Cricetulus griseus: one gene and its partner. The protein of the gene in region 1 interacts with the protein of each later gene in a pairwise test. Links are inferred from orthologs where the notes say so. Each region holds a gene or a part of one and is shown on either strand. Other genes may lie near its edges.

Region 1 (15,625 bases):
TCCCAGCACTCGGGAGGCAGAGGCAGGCGGATCTCTGTGAGTTCGAGGCCAACCTGGTCTCCAGAGCGAGTGCCAGGATAGGCTACACAGAGAAACCCTGTCTCGAGAAAACGAAAACAAACAAACAAACAAAGTAAAATTACTTTTGAAAAAGACTGTCTTGGGGAGATGGAGCCAACCTCTAGGAAGTAACGGCCCTGCAGACGATTGACAAGCCTAGGATGCCAGACAAGCTCCGCCCCGTAGTCTTGGAAACGTGAGACCCGGAGCGCTAGGGCGTAAGGACCTTCCGGCAACACGCCCCGGCGGAACCAATTATGACGGCGGTTAAGTTTCCGACCGGCACCCTATAGGTGACGCACGCGCGGGGGTGGTGCGCGCGAGAGTGACGCGACTGCTTGCGCGGGGCGGGGCGGGGCGGGGCGGGGCCGGGCTGGGCCGTGGCGCTGGCAGCTGTAAGATTTCAGCGCGACTCCAGCCCGTAGCCCCGCCGCCGCCGCCGCGCCGCCATGAGCACCAAGCAGGTCACCTGCAGGTAAGTGCGCGACGTCGCGGGGCCCTGGGCGCTGCCGGGGGCTCGGAGGGAGGTGCGGGGTCGCGCCGAGCCGCGGCGGGCTGTGTACAGCGGCGATAACACGCAGGGGCCCGAAGGCCGCGGGGGGCTGGAGCGGCGAGAGCAGCTGCAGCGGCGGCTTGCAGAGGGCGAGCGAGGCGGGATTGCGGGAACCCCGGCTGGTCGCATTCCTCATCCGGAGCGGAAACCCAGACCGCCGAGAGAGGCTAAAGCGAGACCCCTTTAGGAGCAGAAAGACGGCAGTAGTGGCTGGCTTGTTAGGCGAAATGGAGAACCAGAAAGCTGCCCTGTGACTGCTATTTTGAAGTAAAAAATAGTAGTTGGGTTGAATAGCAACGTCGAAACTCGGTTACTGGGGTTTAGTCCTGTGGATTTGCATGCTTGGGAAGTGCAGCTTGTGAGCATCCCGAATGTAAAAATCCAAATTTCGAAATGCTTCAGAATCCCAAACTTTTTGAGTTGCCGGCATGGTGCGACGAGTGGAAATTTCACAGCATGAAATTTTGTTATATTGAAATACAAAGTTATCTCGGAGATATTGTACAATTTTTTTTCAGGATATGTATATAAGCGTATATGAAGTGATGAGTTCTGTGTTTACACTTTTGTGCCATCCCCAAAACATGTACATGAAAATACTCTAAAGTACAAAACATTCAAGACACTCCCCAGACCAAGCATTTTGGATAGAAGAGCCTCAGCTTATACAAGTTTCAGTTGGTTTTTGTAAATTAAGAAACAGATGTAGTTTGGTTATGTGATAAGCATTTCATCTAATACCTTGTTGCTTCTCATTAGGGCGGGTACCTGATGCCTTTATGAAGAGTTCGTTTCGAATTCGATATAAGGGTTGAGCCAAGTACCCAGGGCCCAGGTGGCTTATGTTAAGTAGTTACCAGAAAAATTGCAGTTAGTGTCTGTGTGTTTTGTGTTTACTTGACACAAGTCAGAGTCATTTGGGAAGAGGGAACCTCAATTGAGAAAATGCTCCTATCATACTAGCCTGTGGTTCATTTTTCTTTTCTTTTTTTTTTTTTTTTTTTTTTTTTCAAGGCAAGGTTTCTCTGTGGCTTTGGAGGCTGTCCTGGAACTAGCTCTTGTAGACCAGGCTGGTCTCGAACTCACAGAGATCCTCCTGCCTCTGCCTCCCGAGTGCTGGGATTAAAGGCGTGTGCCACCAACAAACCCCCGGCTCATTTTCTTGATTGATGTGGGACGGCCAAGCTCCCTGTGGGTGGTGCCGCCTCTGGATTAGTGGTCCTACCTCTGGATTAGTGGTCCTGGGTGTTGTAAGAAAGGCTGAGCAAGGCGGGGCTGTGGTGTTGTGTGATGCTGTGTTGGCTGTACCTGACAAGACATCTTAATAAAGGAAGGGTTTATCCAAGATGAAGAGGGAGTCGTTGATAGGAGCTTGAGAGAGTTGATCACATCACACCTAGAGAGCAATGACGGTTGGTGCTCAGCTCACTTTTTCCTTTTTATTCAGTGTTGACTCCAGTCTAAGGAATGATACTACCATGTTCATGATGGGTCTTCCCACCTCAGTTGACTTAATCTACAAAATCCCTCACTGACATGGCCAGGGACTTGTCTCTTTAGGCATTGCAATCAGTGGCAACTATCACAGTCCTGATCTATCAGCTGGTCATCTTCCTCAGTGAGACAACCTCAGGACTGTCAGGGTTTCCCTAAGCTTAGCTTCAGAGTGGCACAAGTCTATTGCTAACATTGATTCTCATGACTTATGCCCACCACTACCCCGCTAAACTGTGAGTCTTAATTTCACGTATGTGGAGATCACAAAACACTTTTAAAAATACTGTGTCTGGAAGGGTGCAAGTGAGCCTGGGTGCGTGCATGCATGTGTGAATGCCATGCAGTGGTTTATGTGTGAAAGTCAAAGTACAGCCTACAAGGATGGGTCCTGCCGTGGTGGCAAGAGGAGATGGAATTCAGGCCCAGCAAGCATTTTCCCTCTGAGCCGTCTCACTGGCCCAGTGAAAGGTTTCTGAACATGCATGACGATAACTCAGAGTCAAAATGTGATGGATCCAAGGTGTTTCTTCTGTGCCACAGAGCTTGCTGCTCCTTGATGCTAAGCACAGGGTACACCAGGCGCTGTGCATGCCTTCATGCTACCCACTGCTCCAGTCAGTTCAGATTCTAGACTGTTATATTTTATGAGTTGCAGGGTGTGTGTGTGTCTGTCTGTCTGTCTGTCTGCCTTGCAGAGACATAGTGATTTAATTATGGAAAACAAAGTCTTTTCATATTTCCCTATCCATACCTCAGCAAGCATACAAGTACCAAATTAGCGTATCTTTGGATTGTGTTAAGTAGATTTTATTTCAAAAATTGCCATGTTTCATAAATTATTAGCTGAGTTTTGGTTTGGCATTAGCACAGGACTCCCAACAATGTCTGAAATGGCCCTATACACAACTTGGCTGTTGTGTACCACATATTTATGAGAAGCAGTGTTCTCAGTCCTGACGACTTTAAAAACCTAACATTAAATAACCTTCATTCTATAGTATCTAATACCACAGGGAGCTGGGAATCAGCTCACTGTCTTGCAAGCTTGTACTCGAGTTCTATCCTGAAAGCTCATGTGAAAATGCCGGGTATGGTGGCATGTTTGCTATCCCAGTGCTGGGGAGTCAGACACCCGTTTATAACCATGAGGATCTGAGTACCCACTGGCCAGCAAGTCTGGCCTACCTGGTGAGCTCCAGGCAAGTGAGAGATGCCTGTTTCAAAGGCAGTGGAGGTTCCTGAGAATGCTTTGGGTTATCGTTGTCCCAGCTCAAGTGAGAGTACACATGTGCACACAATAAATAAGTAAATGTCAAGAGGACACCTGATGTTGACCTCCAGCTACCACCTAGCAAGCTTCTCATGTCCATGCATCCACACACAAAGAGATGCTGCCATGGTGTGCTATCAGGCAATCCTGAATCTTAGACTGCAAATTACTTTGTGTTTGGAAAGAGTTGGAGAAGCAGCTTTGTAAAGAGAGACAACTGAAGCCCTGCAGGAACCCTGACTGACTCTCTTGAGGTTGGCCTTGGCTACATGGATGATTAGGACAGGCTGGGGTCTGTAGTGAACCATGTTTACATTGCCTGAAAGTCTTCGGAGTGACCCTCAGAAGGAACCTCCCCATTCTGAGGGTTAACCCCTCACTTCATCGTCCCCTCCAGTCCATACCTAACCCTCTTTTAGGGGGCTGGTCAACAGTTTCAGCTGCTGAGATGCCCAGGTTAAGCTCAGATGAGCGTGACCCAGAGAACAGGCAGGGTGTGCTCAGGTTGTATCTGTTACTGGTGACAGCACATAGAGAAGGCTGGGCTGGCTTCACTTCTGACATAGACTCCACTCACTAGCTTTCCTGGAAGCAGTGATTGTCACTTGTGAGTCTGCTTACAGTTCACCTCAGTTACTTGGAGCAGTGAAATGACTTGCATGGACTACAGCAGATAAGGGTCCGAATTAGCTGGAAGTTGTGGTTAATTGTATTGTTATTTTTATAAGATTTTATTTATTTATTTATTATGTATACAACATTCTGCTTCCATGTATATCTGCACACCAGAAGAGGGTACCAGGTCTCATAACGGATGGTTGTGAGCCACCATGTGGTTGCTGGGAATTGAACTCAGGACCTCTGGAAGAGCAGTCAGTGCCATCTCTCCAGCCCCTAATTGTATTGTTATTATTACTGTTATTATTGTATTGTTATTGTTACTGTGCATGTATATGTATATGATGCATATGATGTGCATGATTGGCACGTGTGTGTGTCATGGCTAATGTGTAGACGTCAGAGGACAGCTTTGTGGGGTCAGTTCCCTTCTTCTACCTTTACATGGTGTCCTGTTTTGCTTTCTGTTGCTGTGATAAACACCAAGACCAAAACCAAACTGGAGTGGAAAGGGTTTATTTGGCCTACACTTCCACATTACAATTCATCACTGAGGGAAGTCGGCAGGAACCTGGAGGCAAGAACTGATGCAGAGGTCTTGGAGGATGCTGCTTACTGGCTTGGTACCCATGACTTACTTGCTCAGCATGCTTCCTTATCTAGCTCCGGTCCACCTGCACAAAGTTGGCATCACCCACAGTGGGTTGGGCATTTCTACATAAATCATCAATCAAGAAAATACCTTACAAACATACTTACACGTCTATCTGATGGGAGCTATTCCTGATTGGTGTTCCAGCTTCCCAGATTACTTTAGGTTATGTCAATTGATAATGACTAACCAGCACAGGTGGACTCAGGAACTTAACACTGCAGTCGGGAAGGCTGGTTGCCCAGTGGCTTGGGAAGGTAGCAGTCAGATGAAAAAAACTCATGTGACATTGCACTGTAGCCAGTCCGCTATCAACTGTCCGGTGGAACAGGAGACCCTTGGTCATCGTCTGCTTAAGGTAATCTCTGGTCTTTTTTTCCAGAAGACTATCAAGTGTTCCTTAGCTCCCCAGGCTTATAGTTGTTTGGAGACAGGCTCTGACTGTCTTGTGGAGCTCACCATGTAGACAAGGCTGGCCTTGAACTCAAGGAGATCTACCTTCTCCCTCCCAAGTGCTGGGATAAAGGCGTGTGCCATCATACCTGGCCTTGTGTTTTTGTAGCCATTGTAAGCTTTCCCGCCACCATGTGTTGGAGCTTACCAGTCCTCATCTTCATTTCAGGCTTTTGGGTACCAGGTTGTTTTTGTGCCTTCAGAGTCCCAATTTATTGATTGGATGATTACAATATATTAGTCATTTTGTCTTGTTTTGTTTTCTTGAGACTGAGTCTCCTTTCTATGACCCAAGCTACTTGCAGTCCCCACCTCAGCCTGAGTGCTGGGTTACAGGTGTGTCCTGCTTCACTGCAGTCTTGGTGGCATCTCTCAAAGGCTCACCAAACTTGGTGTGATGGTATGCCTGTACTTTCAGCCACTTGATCTGAGGCAGGGAAGTTATTAGAATCACTTAAGTTCAGGGTCACCTGAGGCAATATATATAAAAACTTGGTCTCAGAAAATAAGAAGAAGTACCCAACAAGAAGATATATGGGATATCTTCTTGTCTGGGGGAGTCCCAGGATTAACCACCCTCACACCTGGAGACTGGCTAGAGTCATGGTGTTCAGCATATAGCTAGACTCTAGACCGAGGCTGTTACACTGGCTTAGCAAGATACACAGCCAGGTAGAGAGAGCAGGAGTTCAGAGGGCTGCTTCTACCCCTGTAGAAGCACTTTTCCTCCCCAGAGGTACCAGGTAGGGGTGCAGGGGGGCAGTGCAGCTTCTGCCTGTGACTCACCTTCCAGTCCCAAGAGGAAGTGGGCTTTGTGTGAATCACACCATGGTACAGTTGAGGCACAGTGGGAAACTGTCAGTGTAGGGACTGTGACTATACCAGCAGCTTTAGAAGCCAAAGGCTGTTCCTAGGCCAGCTCAGAGGTTATCAGTCTCAGAGCTGCTGTGGTGACTGACTCCTTTCCATGGCCTTACTTGCTCTCTCTGCCCCATCCCTGCCTGCTAAGAATGGAGTCCAGGGCCTCTGAATGGCACCCCATGAGCTTCGTCTTCAGTCCTCCATTCTTTCCCTTCCTTTTCTTTCATTTTCTTTTCTTTTCCAGTCAGCCTTCTAGCAAGTTACCGAACAGTGTCTGACTTGGGAGGTGTTTCCTGGGAAATCTGGGTAGCTTCCTAGAAAGTCCAGAGCCATGGCAGCTTTCAATTTCTGATCGTGAGATTGCTGTCCCTTTCATCAGATGGGGGGTAGGGGTAAGTGGGCCTGGCTAACTCTCGAGCTTTCTCCATAAGCTGGAATAAGGATTTTCAGCAGCCTGCCAGCCCCGCCACGAATTGGGCACTGTTCTCTGGTTCAGTGGAATGTGAACAGGCTCTACCCTAAAGTCCACTTCCACAGGGTTCTTTACCAAAAGGGAGGGGTGCAGGCCAGTAGCAACACAGCTGGCTGTAGTTCAGGATCAAATCTGCTGGTCCACTTTGGCTGATGAGGGAAATTTCTTGTGTGTGTATTTTCCTTTTTTCTACAAAGTGTTGTATGTAGCCAGTCTGTCATTTAGCTGTGGCAGTTCTCCTCTTCAGCATCTCAAGTGCTTGGCTTATGTGTTCTTAAGTAAATTTTAACATTTCTTTTCCAATAAAGCTGTTACAGAAACTTATTTCTGAGCCTTTTGTAAAGGATGTTTTACTTTCTTCGGGCCCCCTTCTCCCTGTGCTGTGCACATCTGAAGGCTGCTGGCCCCAGTAGGGGATGTTCTGGGGTCTCCAGAAAGCCTGGCCTGAGCAGCATGTCTCTCAGCTTCCTGGGCACCTACCTCATTTTAAGCATACTAGCAGTGTTACAGCTGACACCAAGGTCACCTGGGGAGAACTGGTAGCATGGTTCCCAGTCTGGGCTCCCAGCAGGCCTGCCAACACCTCACCACCATGCCCTTTCTTTTTGGTCCATTTCTCTCACAAAGTATGATCTTCTAGTCTCTGCTGACATGAGCTTGGGAACACTGGGGGGGGTGGGGAGGGGCCCGCTAGCTAGCGGCCTGTGTCTCCTGTCTCTGCTTTCCCAGCACTACTCAGACTGCACTTGGAAGGTTATGTCAGTGGGCCTTGGCCCTGTCCTTTATAGACCTTAATAAGAGCTGCACTCTGGGGAGCCTGAATAAAACCAAACTGAGCAGTTTACACTGCACCCGGGCGTTTACAGGCAGCATCAGCCTTTTGTTACTACAAAGGCAGTTACACAATGTGTTCACAGCAAAAGCATTGGAAAGTGCAGGTGCTGAAGTAAGGGAAATGCCACATGATGGCCTAGATTCCACCAGCCTGCTATAGGCATCACCAGCTTTTAAAGTTCTTGTCCCTTTATCCCCACCTACCTGCCACCCTCCTTTTTAACCCTTCGGTGAGTCCCCTTTATTCTAGACAGTTCAGTGCTTCCATGGATCTTAGTCTTAGCACACTAGTTTATGTTTATAATATTTTTAAACAAAATGAGATCCTGTATATGGCAACTTTTTTTTAAAGAATATTGTGTGTCCTGATTGGTTTGGTTGTTTGTTTTGGTCTCTTGTTTTTGTCAACTTAACAGAAGCTAGAGTTACATAGGAAGAGGGGTCTTGAGAATGCCTCCATCAGATTGGTCTGTGGGCAAGCCTGTTGTTGCTTCTTCTTGATTAGTAACTGATATGGAAGGGACAGTTCAGCTCACTATGGGCAGCACCACCCCTGGGCAGTAAAAGAAAGCAAGCTGAGCAAGCCAGTCAGCAGCATTCATGCCTTGAGTTTCTGTCCTGCTTTTCTTCAGTGATGGACTCTGGCCTGAGAAATAAATAAATAAATAAATAAATAAATAAATAAATAAATAATAAAGCTGGAATAAACTTTCTTCCTCATATTGCTTTGGTCATGGTGTCCATCATAAGGGAAGAAACCTTAAAAACATTGTGAGGAAGTGAATCTGATAGCATAGGCTTTGCCAGGGTGCCTGTGTCACACACAGTTCTGTGGTCCTGGTACATTCACAGTTGTGTGAGCAATCTCCTGAGCTCTCACTGTGAGAAAGAATACTGTGCTGTTCCTGTCTCCCCCTTAACTGCCAACAGTCCTCTGCTTCTGCTGTGGTGAATTTAACGTTCAAAATACCTCTGTTGTGATGACTTCTTTCGATTAGCACAATGTCCTTAAGGCTCATTCATGTAGTTTTGAGTTGGATATGTTTTCCTTTTTCAGGCTGAATAATACTCCATTATATGTACATACCACTTTTGTGGGTTTTGTTCATGAATTATTAACTCTTTGTTTTTGGGTGTTGTTTGTTTGCTTTTTACATTTTTTAAATTTTTTTAGCTGTGGAGCCTGTCCTGAAATTCTGTAAACCAGGCTGAGCCTGGAACCCACAGAGATCTGCCTGCCTCTGTCTCCCAACTGCTAGGATTAAAGGCGTGTGCCACCACCACCTGGCTCAGATTTGTCATGTAGCTAAGAATGACCTTGATTTTCTGATCCTGGCTCTCTGAGTGCAGGGCCTATAGACATATACCACCGCACCTGGTTTACTCTGTGCTGGGAATGGAAGTCGTGGCTTAACACATACTAGGCAAGCACCTTACCAGCAGAGCAAAATCCACAGCCTCCTGAGGGTGCTAGGATTTCAGGCTGCTGCCACCGTGCCCAGCGCCCCTTATGTCATGGATGCCACACTGTCTTCTTTGGGGCTCATTGCATTAGCCTCATGAAACAGTAGGTGGTGTCATCTCTACACTTAAAGTTGCAGCAGCAAGCATAGGGAAAAGGAGTTTTTCCCTGCCATTTAGTCATCTCTTTTAGCAGCTGCAGGAGAATGGGGAGAGTGGGTTTTCCTAATTATGAAACTCTTTTCTTACATATTTAACACAAATCAAGAGCTGATCCATATAGAAGGGTTTACTTGCATGTATGTCTGTCCACCACATGAATGCAGTGATCAAAGAGGCCACAGGAGGGGGCATCAGATTCCCTGAGACTGGAGTTTCATTTGGTTGTTAGCTGAAGTATGGGTGCTAGGAACAGAGGCTGGGTCCTCTACAAAAGCACCAAGTGCTCATAACCACTGAACCATTTCTTAGCCCCAACATAGAAACTTTTGAGATCTTTTTCTTCCAAAAAGCTAGTCTTAGGTTATTGTGATGAAGTTTAGAATCAAGGAAGAAGATGCAGTATGGGTGGGGCTGTGTGTGTAGTGCTGAGAGGGCTGCACCCGCGCCCCCCCCCCCCCGTGTGACTCAGCTATTCTATGCTTGTCTCCTCAGATATTTTATGCATGGCGTGTGTCGCGAAGGCAGCCAGTGCCTGTTCTCACATGACCTGGCAAACAGCAAGCCATCCACCATCTGCAAATACTACCAGAAGGGGTACTGTGCCTACGGTGCGCGCTGCAGGTAAGGGTGCCTCCATCCCCAGTGGTAGGAATACAGGTGTATGCCATATACCTGCCTGAGCATGGGTCTTGATGAGGGAGATTTTCAACTTAGAGTTGTACTTAGAGTATTAATGATTTGTGACTTGCTTTTAAACCCCATATAACACATCCTAGACTTCCCCTGCCATCAACCCATCCCCATCTCCTCATCATGTGTGGGGTGTAGGGGGTGTGGGGGGGGTGTGGGTGTGAGGTGTGTGTGTGTGGGTGGGTGTGTGGGGGGGTGGGGAAGTGTGTGTGGGGTGTGTGGGTATGGGGTGTGGGTGTGTGGTATGGGGTGTGGGTGTGTGGGGTAGGGGGGTGTGTGGGGTGTATAGGGTGTGTGGGGGTGGGGTGTGTATGGGGGTGGGGTGTGTCAAGTGGGGTGGGGAGGTGGGTGTGGGAGGTGTTTGTGTGTGGTATGTAGGTGTGGGGGTGTGTGTATGGTGTGTGTGTGTCATAAGGTGGTATGCCATTTATTTTAAAGCTATTTCCAGTTCATGCTTGAGTGACTTCTGGCGGGGAGGCTAATGGCATTCATGCACACACAGCCTTGTTGCTCCAGACTGGACAACAGTGTGAGCCACTCCCTGCTTTGGAGAGCAGAGCCCATCTAGTCCTTGCTGTCTGGCAGAGCTTGAGAGTTTGAGTTAGCCATGTGCTTTTCCTCAGCCCACCTACTCACCTAGAGATTCCTACCCAAAGGGCCAGGACACTTGGTGGCATAGTGGAACACTTAGGTGTGGGTAAAGGTGATGGTGGGTATAGGTTACATGACCCCAATAGCCTTTTCTAGTTGGGAGTATAGAGACAGGCCCTTGCCCACCTCAGTCCAGCTGTTGGTCACTGGGAGGGCAGGTAGTGTGTAGGGGTGTGTGTGCAGGTGTTGGGGCCTGCGTGACCATAATACATTGTTTTGTTTTGTTCAGATATGATCATATAAAGCCCCCAGCTGCAGCAGGTGGAGCGGTAGGCCCTGCACCCCACTCTTTGCCATCCTCAGGCTTGCCCAGCCCTCAACCTTCTCCTGACATTGCCACATCTGTTGTGAAGACACATTTGCATGAACCGGGGAAGCGAGAGAAGAAGATGCTGGTGCTAAGAGACCGAAGTGAGTGACTGCAGCCTCCGCTGCCGCTGAGGAAGCAGCCTGCGGGCTTAGTGTTGCTTTCAGGCCTGCTCGCCAGGAAGCTCCTGACACCCCGGGAGCCCAGAGTTGATCTGAAAACAGGCTGCAGAGGTTCAGGGGATGCATGTCCACAGCTGGGCTGAGCTCCATTTTGAGTCCAGCAAAGCATCAGCGTGGTCTTTTGTCACCCTGAAGTTGCCTCTTATAAGGTCACCCACTGATTTTGAGGCCCCAGACTACTCATTCTGAAGCTGGGTGGGGTTTTTTGTTGTTGTTGTTGTTTTGTTTTGCTTTGTTATTGGGTTTTTTGTTTTTTGTTTTTGTTTTGTTTTTTTTTTTGAGACGGTTTCTCTATGTAACAGTCCTGACTGTCCTGGAACACACTCTGTAGACCAGGTTGGCCTGATACTCACAGAGATCCGCCTGCCTCTGCCTCCCAAGTTCTGGGATTAAAGGCGTGCGCCACCACCTACCTCCTGGCTGGGTGTTTTAATGGAGGGGGCAGGTCACATTCTCCTTGTTTGGTGCCATGTCCTGGTAGTGGCTGCTTTGGGGATCTGAGGAGCATCTTCAGACACAGGACAAGGAAGAGGTCTGGGCTGAGGCCAGGTTTGTGAGAAAGAAGTTAGCAAATGCTGTTGTGCTGCTGGACCTTGGGAAGATTTCCTGGCTCTTGGGGTTGTTCCCCTTGGGATTTCATGTCTTGGGTGGTTTTAGTATTAAATGGTCTATATATTGACATCTTTGTGTACTGTATAAAAAGACCTCATTCTCTTCTGTTGTTCTGCAGCTGCACTTGACCTCCTGGGCCATCTCCCAGCCTCTGCTCTGTTGTTCTCTGCCTGCTTTTCTCTAGCTATTCCTAATCTGGGCTAGTAGCTGACGTGAAAGATGAGCCTGTTCTCATGTCTGTTGCATTTGTGTGTATTTTGTGTTGAGATCTCACTGGCCTGGCTGAAGACAAGAGTGTCCCAAGCACAGTGAATAACCCGGGTAGCTGCAGTGATGCTCAGACCAGTCCGGAGATGAAGCCCCATTCCTACCTAGATGCCATCAGGACTGGCCTGGACGACTTGGAGGCCAGCAGCTCCTATAGCAGCAACGAGCAGCAATTATGCCCCTACGCTGCTGCTGGGGAGTGCCGGTTTGGAGATGCCTGTGTCTACCTGCATGGGGACATGTGTGAGATCTGCAGGCTTCAAGTCCTGCACCCCTTTGACCCAGAACAAAGGAAAGCTCATGAGAAGGTAACTTAAGCCTTGGCATGCACTCATTTTAAGAAACCTAAATGTACCACAGACAGAGTCTGGAGTCTCTTTCTTGTATGTCTATGAATGCCTATGTCTTGTACCTGGTATATTTTTACTCTATTTTCAAGTTCTTTTCCTGTTGCCATTTTATCAGTTTGTTTGTTTGTTTGTTTTTCTGTTTGATTCTTTTTTTGTTTAAATTAGAAACAATCTTACATATCAATCCCAGTTCCCTCTCCCTCCCCTGCCTCTCCCCCACTCCCATTTTATTAGTTTTTGATTATTTAGATCAAAGAAGAATAAGAAATACTAGAAATGCAAAGTTCAGACCTGGGAAGATGGCTCCCCAATTAAGACTACTTGCTGCTCTCACAGAGGACCAGCGTTTACTTCCTAGCACCTCCTTTAGGTAGCTCTATGCAACCTCCTATAACTCCAGCTCCAGGGGGTCTGACATCCTCTTCTTACTTCCACAAGAACCTCATGCATGTAAACACACACACACACACACACACACACACACACACTCACACTAGTAATCAAGCTTTAAGAACTGCAAAGTAGTGCTGGAGAGGTGGCTCAGTGATTAGGAGCACTGGTTGCTCTTCAAGAGGTCCCTGGTTCAATTCCCAGCACCCACATAGCAGCTCACAACTGTCTGTAACTCCAGTTCCAGGGGATCCAACACTCCTACACAGACATATGCAGGCAAAACAACAATGCACATAAAATAAAAATAAATAAATTGGGGACTGGAGAGATTGCTCAGCAGTTAAGAGCAGTGGCTGCTCTTCCAGAGGTTCTGAGGTCAATTCCCAGTAGCCACATGGTGGCTCACAACCATCTGGTGTGATCTGGTGCTCTCTTCTGGCCTGCAGGCATACATGCATGCAGAACACTATACATAATAAATAAATCTTTAAAAATAAATTTTTAAAAATATTAAATCATTTTTTAAAAAGAAACTTCAATGCATTCATTTCACAAAACATTGAGTAGATTCTTTGAGAAAACTAATGAGTAAAAGAAATGCAAAGTAAAGTAAACAGCCCCAACTCAGGCTCACCTGCAGCTGTGCCCACCTCTGTACCAGTGCATGCTCAGACTCTGGCACATCTTCTCTCCCCGGGGTTACACAGCTTGGGGTGGGATCCAGGCAGCCAATGTTTTGGAAACTTTGAAAAACCTTTATTATGAACTTCTCTTTGAATTTTATGTGTGTGCTTGCAGTGTGTGTGTATGAGCACACACGTATGAGTGCCTGTAGAGATGAGAGAAGTGTAGACTCCTCAAGCTGGAGTTATAGGCAGTTGTAAGCTGCCTGATGAGGGTACTGGGACCCAAATGCAAGTCCTTTGGAAGAGCAACAAGAGCTCTTAACTGTCTAGTTCCTTTTATCACGGACTCTTGGGAGCCAGTTGTTGAAAGGTCATGAATGTCCCTGTGTCTGCAGCCTCATTCCAGGCTGCCCTCATTCCAGGGTTATGAAGATGGGTTAGAAAAGGGAAGAAGCTCAGGGTTACAGTGTTAAGAGGCCAGGTCACCTCCTCTAAGGACTTGGTAATTATGTGGGATAAAATGGTCATGGCCTCTCCTGTGTCCAGGAGGACTGCTAATGCACATACTAGCAGACAGCATTCCTGGCAGTCCAGACACCATGGGGCAGTGGGGTAGCAAGATGTGGAACTCAGGTTTGGTCTGCTCTTTATCCACGTGCACAGAGCACTGTTGTGTGCAGCTCAGAGCAGGGGCCTGGGTCTTCTCATCTGCCTTCATTCACTTGGACTCACTTAGCTCAGTCACAGTTCTTGGCATTTCTGTATTGATGTGGCGTGGAATAGGCATGGCATCCAAAAGAACCAGAGACCTATGACCCAGTACTCATAAATGCTGCAACTCCCACAGTGATCTAAGTGCCCTAGAACTCCATGGCTGTTAAGCTGGTAGTGACCATAGCCTACTAGGGAACCTAGGACAAGGACAAGGTGGTTTGAGGTCTACTTTTTGGTCAGATCTTATGTCCTGAATTCAGGGATTGTAGGTACTGTTCTTAACAGCTATTGTGACTATGTGACTGAGCAATCCCTGGGGTCTTCCCTCCTGTCATCCTCAGATGTGTATGTCAACATTTGAACATGAGATGGAAAAGGCATTTGCCTTCCAAGCAAGCCAGGACAAAGTGTGCAGCATCTGTATGGAGGTGATCTTGGAGAAGGCATCTGCATCTGAGAGGAGGTTTGGCATTCTCTCCAGCTGTAGCCACACCTACTGCCTGTCCTGCATCCGCCAATGGAGATGCGCCAAGCAGTTTGAAAACCCGATCATAAAGTAAGTGCAGCTGGGCTTCTCTGCGGGCATGGGGGCTGCTGCCTCCTGAGCTCGGACCCCCAGCTGTGTGAGTTTGCACAAGTCATCCTTCCTGAGCCTACCTGCCTATGGCAGCCTCTCCCATCTCTCCATGTTGGGGACTTTACAGAACTGTCCGTTGTTGCTGGCTAGGTTCTGTCTTGCAGACCTTGTGAACTCGGGACAGTCATTGTGTCTGCCTTATGCTAGCTGCCTTTTTTAACCTTAATAAGGGAATTGATTCTCCCTTGATATATGGCTCCCTCCTGTGCACTTTGCTGCCTGGGGCATGTTGTTGTTGAACTTCCCTGTGTGCAGCAGCTTCACCCAGAGAGACAGAGTTCTGCAGTGTCCAGTGCTCTTCAGAGTTAGTTGCTCAGCTGACATGCAGTCTAGTTTTAGAAACTTCATCATCCCCCAAGCCTGTGCAGCCACCTGCCCATTCCTGTTGTCCTCTGTTAGGCAGCCTTCAACCTAGGTTCTTTCTCTACACATGCCTTACTGCTGGTCATTGTGTATAGCCTTTGCCTTAGCAAATGTTCTGAGGAGCATGCTGTATGGGTGAAGAGTGCTCTGGCTGAGAACAGCTTGTAACCTGCTCACCCGCTAGTGGGCATTCACACAAATCTAGACCCCAGGAGTGTCACAGCAGTTTGGCCTCCAGCTGAAGCTGTCTCCTCCTCTTACCTGCAGATAAGATTCCAGTTCCTTCACATCCTCCCCAACACTTGCCTTTATTTCTAATCTCAGCTGTCCCGGGAGTAAAGTGTATTTTATGTCATCTTGCCTGCCGTAGTCACTGAAGATAATGAGCATCGTTTTGTATGCTTACTTGCTGTCCTGGATGAATGGTCAGGTCTCTGTCTCTTACTGAGTTGAACCTTTTCAGCAGCACAAGCTGCTCTTAGAGAATGTGATTGTGTCTCTGGCCATGCATTTGAGCAAGGGGTTTCAGAGTGGAATGTGCAAAGGATTCATGATATATTTTCTCCCTTACAAACCTGATTTGTTTGTTTGTTCTTCAGGTCTTGTCCAGAGTGTCGTGTGATATCAGAGTTTGTAATTCCAAGTGTGTACTGGGTAGAAGATCAGAATAAAAAGAATGAATTGATTGAAGCTTTCAAACAGGGGATGGGGTAAGTGCCTTGATTTCAGAGGGGACTCTGGTGCCTGCCTGGCTGGGTGTGGTTTGAGCCTGTGTCATATGGACCTGGTGGATGGATCTGAGAGCTTCTTGCTCCTGTCAGGCACTTTGCTGGGCTCCGGGCTGCAGAGCTGAGCGAAGCCTTTTTGAGTTCTAAGATGAACCCTGGAAACTGGTGCTGAGGTTGTGAATGCTTGTCATGACACTTAACACATTCTGTCA
Region 2 (15,725 bases), on another chromosome or scaffold:
ACAATTTAGAATCAACAGTTTACTGATGCTTGGGGCTTCTTTTCTGCAAACTGACGGCAGCAGGTTACAATTCTGTCAACAATGCTATTTTCTCCAATTAGTCCCTAGAATTAGACCTGGATCAGAATGTTAAATGGGGGGGGGGGGCATAAAACAGTTTGTAATCCCAGTTCTTGGGAGAAAGAGGCTGATAGATCAAGAGTTCAAGGTCATCCTTGAGTTTGAGACCAAAGATACTGTCCCAACAAAAGTATACATTTTGTCTTTTGCTTTTTGAGAAATGGTCTCTTAGTATAGTCCTAGCTGCCCTGGAACTTCATAGATAGACCAGGCTGGCCTTGAATTCAAAGAGTCTGACTACCTCAGCCTCCTGAGTGCTGAGATTAAAGACATATATCATCATACTCAGGTGAATTTCTTTCTTTTGAGTTTTTTCTCTTTTTATTTTACTTTTTTTTTTTTTTTTTTTTTTAGCGGGGGTTCAAGACAGGGTTTCTCTGTATTGCTTTGGAGCCTGTCCTGGAACTTGCTCTGTAGACCAGATTGGCCTCGAACTCAGAGAACCCCCTGCTTCTGCCTCCAGAGTGATGGGATTAAAGGTGTGTACCACCACCATCCAGTTTTTTGTTGTTTTTTTTTTTTTTAGATGGAGTGTGTGTGTGTGTGTGTGTGTGTGTGTGTGTGTGTGTGTGTGTGTGTGGCCTTGGCTGTCCTGGAACTTGCTCTGTAGAACTGGCCTTGAACTCAGAGATCTGCTTGCCTCTGCCTCCTGAGTGCTGAGAGGTGTGTGCCACCACTACCCAGCTTTTTCCTATTTTTTTTTTAATTTTCATTAGTGTTTTGCCAGCATGTAAGTTATGTGAGGGTTTCAGATCTTGGGGTTACAGTTGTTACCTGACATGTCGTTGTTGCAAACTGAACTGGGTCCTCTGGAAGAACAGTCAGTGCTCTTCTTATAAGTGTCTAGCCCTTTATGTGTATTCGTCTGTATCTATGTGAATGTATATCTTGTGTGTGTGGGTCCTCTTGGAGCTGTAGTTACAGAAGGCGAGCCACCAGACAAAGGTGCTAAGAACTGAACTGGGGTCTTCTGCAAGAGCAGCATGTGCTCTTCATCACTGAGCCATCTCTTCAACCATGAGTAGGTGTGTGTGTGTGTTATTTCTTACTCAGGCTCCTTGATCTCAATATGTATCTAGAGAAAACCTTTATATCGTAGTCCTGTTGTTGCCACCTCCCAAGTTTCACTTGTATTCTTTACTCAATATACATGTTGGAAATGCTTGCTGTCTATTGTGTGTGTCAGGTGTGTAGAAAATGTTGTGCAGAGCTGGGCGTTGGTGGCACACGCCTTTAATCCCAGCACTCGGGAGGCAGAGGCAGGCGGATCTCTGTGAGTTTGAGGCCAGCCTGGTCTCCAGAGCGAGTGCCAGGATAGGCTCCAAAGCTACACAGAGAAACCCTGTCTGGAAAAGCCAAAAAAAAAAAAATGTTGTGCAGAATGCCCTTGTTCTCTGCAACTTAATAGTTTAGCTCAAGCCCAGAAATATAGAGAAAGGGCTTCAGAATGTGTTGAAGGCTCCCCTAGGGTAGCCTGCCAAACTGTTTCAGCTTGCTCCTCTCTACTGTGGCTGCACCACGGACCCCATCTTCACACAGATTTCCTAGTATCTAAAATCCTCAACTCCTTAGCTCCAAGGCTTCTAGTATATTGAAACACACCACAGTAAGAGTCACTCTGCAGCTTCATAGAGCCCATTCATTCTGTATTGTTCCCTTCCCAACTTATTAGACACTTGCTAGCATTATATCTTATGTGACTGAGCCTGGACACCACAGGCATGAAGAGCTGGTCCACACTTGAACTAGATTAAAGATTCTCAAGCTCAGAATTGATACTTTGAACAAGATAATTCTTTGGGGTTGAGGAGCTGTTCTGTGTGTTGTCAGATACTGAATGTCTCAAGATTCCAGTTAACAGGGTAACACTTGCCCCCTCCACCAGTTATAACAGCATCAAATGACTCCAGAAACTGCAAAATGTCACCTGTGGGAAAACTCAAAAATCATCCCCATAGACCTAGATAGTTGGATTAGCAGTTAAGAGCACTGGCTGCTCTTCAAAAAAAAAAGAAAAGGAAAGGAAAAAACAAAACAAACAAACAAACAAAAAAAAAAACAGGCCGGGAGGTGGTGGCACATGCCTTTAATAACAGCACTCGGGAGGCAGAGGCAGGCAGATCTCTGTGAGTTCGAGACCAGCCTGGTCTACAAGATCTAGTTCCAGGACAGCCTCCAAAGCCACAGAGAAACACTGTCTCCAAAACAAAACAAAACAAAACACAAAAAAACAAAACCAAAAAAAAAAAAAAACAAAAAAACAAAAAACCCAACCAGGTTCTATTCCCAGCACCCACATGACTGCTCACAACCCTCTGTACCACCAGTTCCAAGGGGATCCCACACCCTCTTCTGGTCTCTTTGGGCATTGCATACACATTACATAGACATCACAACACCCATCACATTAAAAAAAAAATTGTTTGAATATCCAATTGAGAACCACTAGTGTAAATGCAAGCCCTGTAGACTTAGTAGTGTAGACTGAGGCCCCATAGCCAGAACATGCATTGGTGTTCAGCAATGCTCAGTGGAAGGACAACCTGGTCTAGTCAGAACCCTACTAACGGTATCCATGGCATCTGTGTATTGATGGATATATTGCCCCAATTCTCCAGGTCTCAGAGTGGAGGCAGCAGGATCCCCTCAATAGTTTTTAAATGTTAGAGCAGTTATGTCATGTCCAGCTGAGAAAACAAGGGCCATCACAGACAAAGCAGGTACAAAATCAAGATCTTGGGGGCTGGAGAGATGGCTCAGATGCTAAGAGCACTGACTGGTCTTCCACAGGTCCTGAGTTCAATTCCCAGCAACCACATACACAACCATCCATTATGAGATCTGGTGCCCTCTTCTGGTGTGCAGATATACATGGAAGCAGCATGTTGTATACATAATAAATAAAATCTTAAAATTAAAAAAAAAAACGAGATCTTGGAACTAAGAAATAAAAGAAAGCTGCAATAGGGCAACGGTTTTGTTTAGATTTTATGAAGAATCACAAGTCCAGAGTCTCTTTGCTCTTAACCTAAAGAGACTAGGTGGTGGCATATGTCTTTAATCCTAGCACTCAGAGGCAAAGGCAGGTGGATCTCTGTGAGTTTTGAGGCCAGCCTGGTCTATACAGTGAGTTCCAGGACAGCCAGGGAACACAGAAATCCTGTCTTGAAAAAACAAAAACAAGAGAGAGAGAGAGACCAGACTGACTGAGAGACAGACAAACTATTATCAGAACAAAATTCTGATTTTCTGAATTTCTGTCTAAATTCTCAAAGCCAAGACTCTACATAATGATCCCTTATCTCGAACACCCTTCTTTTGCCATTTAAAAGTAAGTCTGTGAGGCAGACCACGAAGATTAGAAGCTTCTACAGTCCAAGTCCTCAATATGGTGCTGAAATATAAAACGTGGGCAGAAACGGACCAGCCCTATCCAGGACACTCAAAAGGGACGTTCTTTATGGCTATGAGAGCACCAAAGGACCTGACCTTGACTTGAGGGTCACGGAGCACTTCCCAGCAACCTCAGCTGAGATCCAAGGAAGTTTAGTTTTAGTTATGAGAGGGGAGGGGAGGCTATGGAGGGCCTGCTAGGCAGAAAAGTAATGTATAAAGACTTGTGTGGAAGAAAATGAAGAGTAGGAGAAGCAGAAGAAGACCCATGAGACCACACAAGGGCCTGACAAAACCAGTCACCATGAATTTGCATTGCCTAGAGCCCAGAGAAGGCTGACTGATTCTCACCACACACATGTTTATCTACAAAGAGACCCCACCTCCAGAGTACTGAATGCTGGCAAGAGTGGGTAGAACCTAAGGTCACAGAGCTACACACAGCTTAAAAAGCTAGCTCTCTGTATACTAGGTGGGTCCTGAGGGCTTCTACAAAACAGAGACCAACTTTCTCAGAAGCCTTTCCAGTTTCCTAAGGGATAATTCCCTTAGGAATGGAAGCAGTTCATGAGGACATGAGAGAAGGCATAGCACTGAAGCTGTGTAGTGACACACAGCTGAACTTCAGGAAAAGAACAGTGGGCACAGCCAGGAAAGGTTCTGTAGGGGACAGTGTAAGCCACGCCTGCTAGAAGCTGGCTACAGGTGTGCTTGACCACGCCTGTCAGGGCGTGGTCAAGGTGAGGTCAGGATGATGAGTTTTAAGGCAGATGGGAACCCCTTCTCTCTGGCCTGCCTGCCTTGCTGCCCTTGGCACGCTCTGGCTTGCGTTTGGCTGGTGTTTTTCTAATAAAGGTTATCTTTATCCCAAGCTCCTTTTATTTCTCAATCAATAGGGTTCTGCCAACCTGGTATGGGCCAACCCGGAATCTTTTCCCAAAGGCCAAATTGGGGGATGGGGGGTGGGGGGTTGGGGGTGTCCAATACTCTTCTCATCTCTACAAGACTAGAGGAATGACAAGGGAGTAAGAAAGGAGCCAGAAGTCACTCATTCCCAAGATTTGCCAACTTATTTTAGGAGTGTGGCTGATACTCAAGCGTCCCGTGGCTGAGGGGTGGCTCTGAGAGCAGGAGCTGAGAACCTTTGCAGACCAAGAGTCAAATGTACTGATCCTTCCCCCAGAAGTAAACAGGAGCATTTGATGATGCCACAAGGGAGCTTCAGAAAACAAGTGATGAAGGGATGCTCAACTCCAGTGGGTGAGGAGCAGGCAAGGCAGCTCCTCTGCCAGCTAGGCCCATACCCCAAGCTACACTTCAAGAAATGCCCACTATTACAAGGCACTGACCCTCTAGGTTCTATTGTCCCCCAGAGGCCATAATGGCCTGCACATATCCTCTTTGGTTCCTGTGAAGGAACTAAAGGAAGACTAGCAAAGGAAACCCTAGTCCTTCAGAGTCCGGTTGTGCATGGGGTCTACCACATTACTTTTCTCCCTGTTTTATGGTTGGCATCACCATCTTAGCCAAGCTGAGGTCCAAAACAACTTTTAAATTCTCCCTGTAGGGGTCTAACAAGCAAAGGAGGATGAAAGCAGCTTCAGGTCACAAGTCTCAGTCCGGGTCTCACAATCCTAGGAAAGAAGGTGGTACCTGAGGGTGGCAGAGATAGAGCAAGGTAGTGGTAGGCAGGGACTCTGTGAAAGGCAGAGTCTCTGTGGGCAAGGCTGCCCCACACACACCCCGCCCCCAACCTCCAGTTCCTGGGAAAAGGATCTGCAGCAGTCCCATCCATCTCAGGCATCCCAGGAAGGTCTGGGAAGCATTCATTTTAAACTTAGACTTCCAGGCTAGCTCAGAAATGCTGATTCTTTTGGACGTCCTAGGGAGAGATCAAGAAAAAAAACAGGTAACAGGGCTTGGTGGAGCAGGCCTCTGATTTTAGTAGTAGGATGGTAAAGGTCAGCCAGAGAGCTGCACAGTGACACCCTATCTTGGGAAGGGGATGAAGAGAGGAAAAGAGGGCGGTAAGGGAGGAAGAGGAAAAAAAGAAAGGAAGCAAAGGGTCTGGGCCAGGCATTGGTGGCCCACACCTTTAATCCCAGCACTGGGGAGGCAGAGGCAGGCAGATTTCAGTGAGTTCGAGGCCAGCCTGTTGTACAAAATGAGTTCCAGGATAGCCAGGACTGTTACGCAGAGAAACCTGATCTTTATTTTTTAAATATCCCCCCCCCGCTTTTTTTTTAAGATTTTATTTATTTATTATGTATACAACTTTCTGCTTCCATGTATATCTGCACACAAGAAGAGGGTACCAGATCTCATTAAAGATAGTTGTAAGCTACTATGTGATTGCTGTGAATTGAACTCAGGACCTCTGGAAGAGCAGACAGTGCTCTTAACCCTTGAGCCATCTCTCCAGCCCCCTAAGAAACCCTGTCTTGAAAAGGAAAGAAAAAAGAAAGAAAGGAAGGGAGAGGGAGAGAGAGAGAGAGAGAGAGAGAGAGAGAGGGAGGGAGGGAGGGAGGGAGGGAGGGAGGAGAGGGAGGAAGGAAGGAAGGAAGGAAGGAAGGAAGGAGTATGAGATGTAGCTCACTGGCAGCATGCTTGTCTAGCAAGACAGTCTAGATTCAATCCCCAAGACCAGAGGAAAAAGAGAATGACTTTTTTTTCCAAAGGGAAATAAATGTCAGTTCATCGAAAGGAAGCTAGAATGTGGGTGTAGTGATTCACCTTTCTATTTACGAAAAGCAGTACAGAGACACAGAAAGGTGCTAGCATGACCCACCTAAAGGGCAGCAAACTGATTATGGGGTGAGTAAGGACAGGTGACTTCCAGGACCACCACAGAAACAAAACAATAGAAAATGAAAGTCATTCAGTTGGGTTTACCAAGGACACAGGTGATATATAACCTTAGGGTCCTAAAAAGACACTCATCAGGCTGTAAAGGAACACATCTAGGACAGCACCCTGTGTAGTCCAGAGAGTCGGGAAGGAGCGGGGGGGGGGGGGGGGGGGGGGGGGGGGGGGGGGGGGGGGGGGGGGGCGGGGGCCTGCAAGAGGCCCAGAAAGCAAGTGGCCTTAAGTGAGAAGCCCTAGTCTTTGCACAGCTGGGCAACCACAGGGTGCAGCAGCCTTGCCACTATACTCGCCTAACATGTTCCTTTCCAAATGCCTTCAATGTACCTTGCTCAGCGCTTACCCTAATCTAGCAGGTTCTGTGCCAACTCTCACTGTTCAGCCCTCATATACCAGTCAAGAACCTTTGCAATAGAACATGATCACAGGAGATTGCTTTCGCATCTGCCTATGTCTTTACTCCAAACTTCACTTTTTTTATTTTTGGTTTTTGGAGACAGGGTTTCTCTGTGTAACATTCTTAGCTGCCCAGGAAATCACTCTGTAGGATAGGCTGGCCTCAAACTCATTGAGATCCGCCTGCCTCTGCCTCCCGAGTGCTGGGATTAAAGACATGCGCCACCACCACCCAGCTCCCTACTTCACTCTTAACCACATTGCCTTACTCTACCACAAGATGTAAATTATTGCAAACAAAATGGCCATCTGGCTTTTTCTTTCTTTCTTCTGTTCATAGCTGTATCCTAAAGCCTAAAACAGCAGTTCAGCAACAGAACTAAAATAAATAAATGTGACCTTTAGTTCATAGATGTTAGTGGTTGCTACCATCCTAACTGGTGGTCCTTTTTAAAAATATTTAAACTGGAGAGATGGCTAAGAGGTTGAAAGCACTGGCTGTTGTTCTTCAAGAGGTCCAGAGTTCAATTCCCAGCAACCACAAGGTGGCTCACTACCATCCATAACGAGATTTGCTCTCTTCTGGCGTGCAGGAACATATGCAGGCAGAACACTATATGGATAAATAAATTTAAAAATTAAAAAAAAAATAGGCGGGCTGGGCGTTGGTGGCGCACGCCTTTAATCCCAGCACTAGGGAGGCAGAGGCAGGCGGATCTCTTGGAATTCGAGACCAGCCTGGTCTACAGAGTGAGTTCCAGGATAGGCTCCAAAGCCACAGAGAAACCCTGTCTCGAAACCCAATTCCCCCCCAAAAAAACCAAACAAACGAAAAAAAAAAGTTGTAAAATTTAAGGAGAGATCTGTGACATCGGAGGGCCACTGCAAACTTAAGTGTTGAGATTAAGGTCATCAGGTTACCAAATTATCAGTGTTCCTCCGCTTCCCTGTCCAGCCACTTCTTTCAGGGCTACACAAGACAAACTAGCAGGCTTTTCTGTGGAATGGTCAGAGTCACAGAAAGGGATTCCAATAAAAATCCCTTAAAACAAAAGGGCCAGATTGGACGGCACACGCCTTTAATTGCAACTTCAAATATACTTCCTTAGGTCATAGCTTAAATCGGAGTCGCCAACCCAGGAACCGGAACACCAAGCGAAAAGGGCGGGGCGCCGTCTCTGCCACGTAGCCGGGGAGGGAGGAGCCGCTGCAGTATGGCGATGAGCCGGTCGTCTTACTTTTCCTTCCTGAACACGTACTAATCTGCCGAGGAGCCTTTATTAAAACCCAGTAAAGCTTACTTAAGAACGCATTTGTTCAGCAGTCGCCAAATTATGTTCCGTGGCAGAAGAAACGGCGACATTGCGACTTACCGCGCCCAGCCCCTCCCACTACCTGGTGACGCCATCTTTGAGCAGCAGGGAATCATGGGAACCCCCGCCTTGCTCTCCGGGTATTTCCGGTTCCGCCGGAGGCCGCTCTTTCTTTTTCTCCGCGGCGTCGCTGTGGCTGCCGCTGTGGTGCTTGGCTCTCTGAGCTATCCGGTGCCATCCTTGTCGCTGCGGCGACACTCGTATCAGCTGCAGCCATGACGGAGCAGATGACCCTTCGTGGGACCCTCAAAGGCCATAACGGCTGGGTAACACAGATCGCCACCACCCCGCAGTTCCCAGACATGATTCTGTCTGCGTCTCGAGGTACGGGCTGCATGCCGGGCGAAATAGCGCGTTTCCCGGGGACTGCGCGTCTCCTGGCTTCGCAGGTGGCGCGTGGGTTGGCTGGCTTGGTCCATTCCCCCACCCAGTTATGAGTTGGGGCGTGCAGACCCGAACCTGGGCCCCAACTAGGGCGACCCTTTGCACATGGACGGAAACCGAGAGGTGTCGCATAACTCCCATAAGATTAGGTGACTAAATCTCTTCGTCTGTCTTCTCGAGATATATTTAAGTAGTTAGGGAGCTACAAGCCAGGCGGAGCAATGATGACCCCAACATGCCATCTGAGCTACTTTGCTGAAATCCAGAGGCTGTTTCTGAGCTGCCGTCTGGCCCTGAGCTCTGAGCAGTGCGTAAACTAAGGCTTTTTATTTTTCCTCATGACTTATCTTTATCATGATTTGCCCACCCAGGTCTCCCTATCTGCCCAAATTTATGTTCATTCTCGTGTGAAGCTTATCAGGCACTTTATTCGTTTCTGTATGGTTTGACATGGTGCATGGCTAGGACTGTCTTATTCTACCATAGCTACTGCATTTCTAGTCAACCCTTAAAGGCACAAAAGGTGGTCTGCTTATCCCACACCCAAGTGACTTTGCTACTTTTGAGTTAGCCTTGTGCTGGAGTGATGATAGATAAAACTGGCTCCTCAAGGGGACTAGGTAAGGTTTGTTTCCCAGAACCCACATGGTGACTTGCAATTGTAGGTAGTTACAGGGAATCTGACACCCTCTTCTAAAAACAACATGGGCACACATGGAGGGGAAACATTCAACACAAATTAATCTTGGGTTGGATTTGAGTTTCAATCCCAGCAAGTGTGGTACCCCATAGTCTCGGGTGTGCCTTACATCTTTTCAGTTCCTCTCACTGAATGTAGTGATGCTCCCCTTGTTATTACACCAGTAACCGTAAAGCACTGTAAATTATGCCCAGTATATAGGTGTGGGTGCCTATGTAATTTCTTCCCCAACCTTTTCAGACAAGACCATCATCATGTGGAAGCTAACCAGGGACGAGACCAACTATGGCATACCACAGCGTGCGCTTCGAGGTCACTCCCATTTTGTCAGTGATGTCGTTATCTCCTCTGATGGCCAGTTTGCCCTCTCAGGCTCCTGGGATGGAACACTGCGCCTCTGGGATCTCACAACGCAAGTAGCTGCTTTGGGACCTTGGGGGAGAGCTGGGCAAAATTGAGGTAGATTCCCGAGGGTGTGGTCTCCCTCGGAAATTGGTTTTTTTATGGAGGGTGGGGTAAGATGTTGGTGTTGACCTCTTTGAGGAGGGAGCTAGAGGGCTGTCGTGTAGTTGGAGCGTTTTTACCGGGTACCGCCAGCTGTTAAAATAAGTGTTTCATCTTGAAAGCTGTCCTAGATGAGCATTTGGCAGGTGTAATAGAGGATCCTAGTGATGACAAGAAGACATTGTCAACCAATCCCCACAAGGGAATGAGGACATGTCCTGCAATTCTGAATGGGTTCTCTGGCACATACCAAGAATGGGCTAATAATAGAACAAAGCCACATATAAGCTGTGTGGAGTGATAGAGCCTACTGGAGCAGCAATGTAGCCAAGAAAAGGGTCTGACTAAAAGGATAAGATTTGTCTAGAAAGTGACCAGGTTCTCCCATTTAGGGGCACCACCACGAGACGATTTGTAGGCCATACTAAGGATGTACTGAGTGTAGCCTTCTCCTCCGACAACCGGCAGATTGTGTCTGGATCTCGAGACAAGACCATAAAGTTATGGAATACTCTCGGTGTCTGCAAATACACTGTCCAGGTAAAGTGATGGAGGTAAAGGCTACAAGTTAGAGGTTATCTCCCAGCCCTTGGGGATTTTGTTGCAGTTTTGAGATGGTTCATTACTATGTAACCCTGCTTAGACTAGAACTTTGGTCTGCTTATTGCATGCTGGGATCAAAGCTGTGTGCCACCATCTAGCTCTTTTGTAATGTGTGGCATTTGTCTGGGATTTGGTTGGTTTTTACTATATATTTAATGCATTCTTGCTCATGAGTGGCTTGGGACTTGGGAGTTGATTTTTCTTCTGAGTTGGGGCATGGAACCCTAGGCCAAGGCATCTATTGGGCAGGCCCTTACACATGAGCAAATACCCAGATGTGTCCCATAACTTCCCTAAGGGTTAGGGGGTTTTAAAATCTCTACCTACCTCCTGGAAGTATGTTTAAGTACTTGGGGGCTACAAGCCAGGCAGAGCAGTGATGACTCCAACATGCCATCTGAGGTGCAGTGCTGAAATCCAGAGGCTGTTTCTGAGCTGTGCCTGGCACTGTGCTCCATGAGGAGGCATCCTAGGACTCAAATATGAATCAGCAGGCTTGACAAATGACTTTACCAACTGTTCTGTTGATCCAGAAGTATAGGTTTGCCAGAGAGTGCTGTTGCCCCACTTAGGGTAGTTATCTGTAGTCCTCTTACTTACCTTGCATCTTCTGTAGGATGAGAGTCATTCAGAATGGGTGTCTTGTGTCCGCTTCTCCCCGAACAGTAGCAACCCTATCATCGTCTCCTGTGGATGGGACAAGCTGGTCAAGGTGAGCTTCAACAATGGCCTGGCCCCATTAGAAATCTAAAAATGTTCCCATTCCTCTGAGATGGTAATCACTCCGGTTTGGAATGTTTTGCAAATTAAATTACCTTGGCTTTGGCTCTTGATGCTTTATCTAAGTTCATTAGGGATTGAGTTTGTTTTTGAGGCCAGATCTCACTCTGTATCTCTGATAGGCCTGTGTCAGCCACTCAAATATTGGGATTACATGCGCTTGCATAAAAACCTGTTATGAGTTACCTTTAAGGAAGATGCTATTCTTTCTTGTGGCCATAATCCTGGTCACTCACCTTTTTCCCTAGGTATGGAACTTGGCTAACTGCAAGCTGAAGACCAACCACATTGGCCACACTGGCTATCTGAACACAGTGACAGTCTCTCCAGATGGATCCCTCTGTGCTTCTGGAGGCAAGGTATTTAGGGGACCTCTGATCTTTATTTATGGAGAACACTTTCATCTGATAGCATGTACCAGTTAAAAGATGAGCTTAAAATGTGGGAATGTTTCTAAGGATTATCATAAAATATATAGAAAGGCATACCAAAGAAATTTTCCTTTAAAACTAAGTTGGTAGCTGAATAGATGGCTCTGGGATTAAGAGCACTGACTGTTCTCCCAGAGGTCCTGAGTTCAATTCCTAACAACTACATGGTGGCTCAAGACCATCTAATAAGATCTAGTGTCCTCTTCTGGATTAGGGCTACACACAGGCAAAACACACTGTATACATAAATAAAAGTAAGTTGATATACGTATTATACATTACAGGGAAGGTCTTAGGACCATGAACGCTGACACTTCAACCATTAGCTTTATCTATCCTAACTCACCATTTATGTCCGTCCAGGATGGCCAGGCTATGCTGTGGGATCTCAATGAAGGCAAGCACCTTTACACACTAGATGGTGGGGACATCATCAATGCCTTGTGCTTCAGCCCCAACCGCTACTGGCTCTGTGCTGCCACAGGCCCCAGTATCAAGATTTGGGTAAGTGATCTGTTGTGCACCACATTGATTTCAAGCTTTATTGGTAGATTCATCATTCAGCTGCTGTCAGTTGACAAGTTGGGATTATTTTTTCTTAACACTTAGCAGCACTGGGCAACATTTGACTAATAAAAGGGAATGCCCATATTTGGCAATTTGTTGAGTCATTTGGGCCAAAGTAATTCTCCTTTGAGAGGCTATTTTGTCAGCATATGTGGTATCTACTCACTAGATGACCATTAACAGTTACAGCCACACACCATGAAAGATAAGCAAAAATAATCCCAGTAGTGTGTAGCAGGTAGTAGAGCACTTAGCTAATGCATGAGAGGCATAAATCAAATCCCTACCACATGTGCCACTAGTATCAACTAAAAGACTGGGGATTCTATGTGGTATTTTTATGTTTTGGACAGTGTGTAACCCAGGCTGACCTTACATTTATGAGGAGTCATCTTGACTAAGTTACATGGTCAGATCTAGAACTTGGCAGTCTGCCTCAGCCTTCCAAGTAGCTCCAATTGTATAACTAAACCACTGGCCCTCTAAATGATTGTGGGTTGCTAGGGTGGGGGTTGATATTTCATATGTCCTTGAAAGAAAAAATAATCTGGAAATCTGAATTAGAAATAGGCTTTCCAAGTAGTTCATTACTGTCTGTGGTACAGGATAACTGGCCCATAGCCAGGGAATTCTGTCTCCTCCATAGTTTGAGGAATAAACTGTTTTAGGTGTCAAGCAAAGGCCCTTTAATTTGCCATCTTAAGGTCTCCATTTAAAAAAAAAAAAGCTATGGTATGACAACATACTACAGACCATAAAAGTCCATTGCATAATTGTTATGGGCATCCTTACCTGATTTTGGTTTGTTTTCAGGATTTGGAGGGCAAGATCATTGTAGATGAATTGAAGCAGGAAGTTATCAGCACCAGCAGCAAGGCAGAGCCACCCCAGTGTACCTCCCTGGCATGGTCTGCTGATGGCCAGGTAAGTACTTGATTCTGCCAACTCAGCTTCCAGCTTACTCTTCATATCACGGGCATAAGACTAATATATTAGCAGGGCAGTGGTGGCGCACACCTTTAATCCCAGCACTCGTGAGGCAGAGGCAGGAGGATCTCTGTGAGTTCAAGGCCAGCCTGGTCTACAGAGCTAGTTCCAGGACAGCCTCCAAAGCCATAGAGAAACCCTGTCTCGAAAAAAAACAAACAAACAAAAAGACTATTATATTAACAAATGAAATGATAAAGGGTGACTAGTTACAGAAAATACTATAATCTATCTGGGGAATGATTCATGATTTGGACCTCTAGAAGAGGCTTCAAAAGTATAGCAAGCTGTTTCTTCTGGGAATGTGTGCTGAGCATGTCTTAGACAAGTTCTTTGTTTGGGGGCCATACAATTCATTGTTGGGCATGACCCTGTTGCCATTCTCTTTTACAGACTCTGTTTGCCGGTTACACAGACAACCTGGTTCGAGTGTGGCAAGTGACTATTGGCACCCGCTAAAAGTTTATGACAGAGTCTTAGAAATAAAGTGGCTTTCTGAAATCTTTTCAGTTATGGTTTGTCTAGTGAGCAAGTTCCTAACTTGCCCGCCTACCCACCCTTCTCCCATTTGTTGTGTTTTGCTTGCATACATGTCTATGCCAGGGAATATTAGGGTGATGGGAAACTTTGGGACATTCAACATGGCACTGTCTGTCCTAAACTCAGGCCCACCTATGTTTGCCTTCCTCAATGGTGTATCTATCCTTCTTGGTTGCACTTCATTCTAGCAATAGCAGCAGAATAGTTTTTTCCAAGGCAGGGTTTCTCTGCCCAGTTTGAATTTAGCCCCATCTACTTGGATCTACGTATAACATTTAGTCCTTACTAAGTAAGCTACATGAATAAGGACCTCCCATTCCTCACTGAAACAGGAAACCCTAGGAATGCATAAAGAACCAGAAATTCAGGGTTGATTGTATGCTCCTGACAGCTAAGAAGCAGTTCCAGGGCTTCTATGGGAAAGTACTTCATGAAGCAAAATTGCTGCTTCAAAAGAAAGACTCCACAACAGCAGCAAATAAACACTTTATTATCTGCAACACAACCCACCTTTTACCCCAAGAACATGAATTGACCTCAGCCACAAGCAGAGGACAAAAGCTGTTAGGTGACAGAAGGCAAGGGGTTACTAGAAAAATAGATTATACCCAAGGCTCTCCCAAGGATCCAGACCCCTGTCCCAAGCTCCTTAACAGGGCTTACCAAATGGAACTACAAGGTGCTGAGAGGCCAGAAACTGAAATTCACTGAGGGGAAAAGAGCCTGGCAGTGAAGACTTGGAGGGGTTAGGTGTGAGGAGCTGGGCTCCTAAATAAAAACTGTACGACAGAGAGAAAATAATTTATTGGGTGATATAATGGTGTGCAGTGTCACGTTGACCATTCCAGATCTTACTGAAGCTAAATTCTGGCCAGTCTATGGAGGTAGAAATTGGGGGCGGAAGGAAAGCTTTAAGAGTTCCTACTTCCCCAAGAAAAGTAGACTTTACACAGCTCTACCCTTTTGCCCAGCCTGCCTCCCCACAAAAGCTTCCAAATCCCTTAACTGGAGCTTGCACCAAAGCATGGAATTGGAATGGGTAGGTCTTGCCCGAACCCTCCAGCCTCAGAAATGACAAAGACTGAAGAGTAGATGTGGAAAAGAGAAGTTAAGGAACAAAACTTCCACTCATCCCTGCACTCAAACTGGGACTCAGAGCTGGACTGAGCTAGGCAGACAGGGAGGGAAGATCAGGCAGCTGTTCTTATTATCAGGGACCCATGCAGACCTGTCAGACAAAGTAGGTGAGAGAAGACTGAGCTGGAGGAAGTCTAGAAGTTGTTTTAGGCTCCTATTGGGGGAAGCAGCCTGGGTTCAAGGAGGAGCAGAAAGCAACTCAGTAACAAACAGTGGGAGGAGCCTGAGCTCACAAACATAGTGGGCAATCATCCACCACCACCCGCCCCCCCAGCAGTGACTGGAGGGGCCCCTGCGGGTGGCAGGCTGATCAAGGGCAGAGCTTGATGCGGGTGCCCTTGGAAAGCACCCGAAAGAATGGGAAGACACGCTCGCCAAGGAAGGCAGCTGAGAAGGTGTGGACGTGGGCTAGGGTATCCGCATTATAGAACCCTAGGCGCCCAGCCTCATAGTCCAGGTACACGCCAAATCGCCGTGGTTTCTCACATGGGCTCAGCAGTGTCTGCTCTGTTGAGCTCTGTGCCTGGTATCGTTTGCCGTGAGTACCCACACACCACACTTCCCGCTGGAGCAGAAGCTGCTGAGGCAGGTGGAGCCGGCGGCGGCGATGGTGATGGCGTGAGGAGCTGGCGTCCCCACTGCTAACAGAGGACCCCCCAGAGCTCACTTTTTCTTTATGATGGGTTGATTCACGGGCAGCACCCACTGCCCAGCCCCGCCGCCCGCCCACCTCTACCTCCCAGTAGTGCCGGCCAGAACGGAAGCCTTGGGCCCCTAGTACACAGCAGTCAGCTGAAAAGCGCTTGGAATGTTCAGGAACCTCCTGCCGACGTTCTGCCAGCCGGACCCCACGACGATCAGGGGACAGCATAAGGGCTGGGTGAGCTGTGTCAGGGTCCAGCGTCAGATCGACTTGGAAAGAGGAAAGATGAATATAGCAGAGCTAAA

The links.
Region 2: the proteins of Mkrn2 (region 1) and Rack1 interact in binary tests that used the Homo sapiens proteins (3 or more experiments, as listed by UniProt). The two-hybrid records come from large-scale screens. The link is inferred for Cricetulus griseus from reciprocal best matches to the Homo sapiens genes MKRN2 and RACK1.

Annotation. Positions count from the first base shown.
Region 1 is NC_048601.1:29,229,112-29,244,736, reverse strand, and holds the start of Mkrn2 (probable E3 ubiquitin-protein ligase makorin-2), read left to right. Parts: upstream 1-397; 5' UTR 398-509; coding exon 510-535; intron 536-9,385; coding exon 9,386-9,514; intron 9,515-10,463; coding exon 10,464-10,645; intron 10,646-11,602; coding exon 11,603-11,910; intron 11,911-14,026; coding exon 14,027-14,241; intron 14,242-15,284; coding exon 15,285-15,395; intron 15,396-15,625. UniProt on the Homo sapiens protein: E3 ubiquitin ligase catalyzing the covalent attachment of ubiquitin moieties onto substrate proteins.
Region 2 is NC_048600.1:63,450,315-63,466,039, forward strand, and holds Rack1 (receptor of activated protein C kinase 1), read left to right. Parts: upstream 1-8,237; 5' UTR 8,238-8,359; coding exon 8,360-8,468; intron 8,469-8,743; exon of another isoform or gene 8,744-8,811; intron 8,812-9,468; coding exon 9,469-9,640; intron 9,641-9,889; exon of another isoform or gene 9,890-9,969; intron 9,970-10,124; coding exon 10,125-10,272; intron 10,273-10,705; exon of another isoform or gene 10,706-10,773; intron 10,774-10,951; coding exon 10,952-11,047; intron 11,048-11,363; coding exon 11,364-11,474; intron 11,475-11,909; coding exon 11,910-12,050; intron 12,051-12,926; coding exon 12,927-13,037; intron 13,038-13,493; coding exon 13,494-13,559; 3' UTR 13,560-13,605; downstream 13,606-15,725. Other genes in the region: E3 ubiquitin-protein ligase TRIM41, read right to left, coding at 15,088-15,689. UniProt on the Homo sapiens protein: Scaffolding protein involved in the recruitment, assembly and/or regulation of a variety of signaling molecules. Interacts with a wide variety of proteins and plays a role in many cellular processes.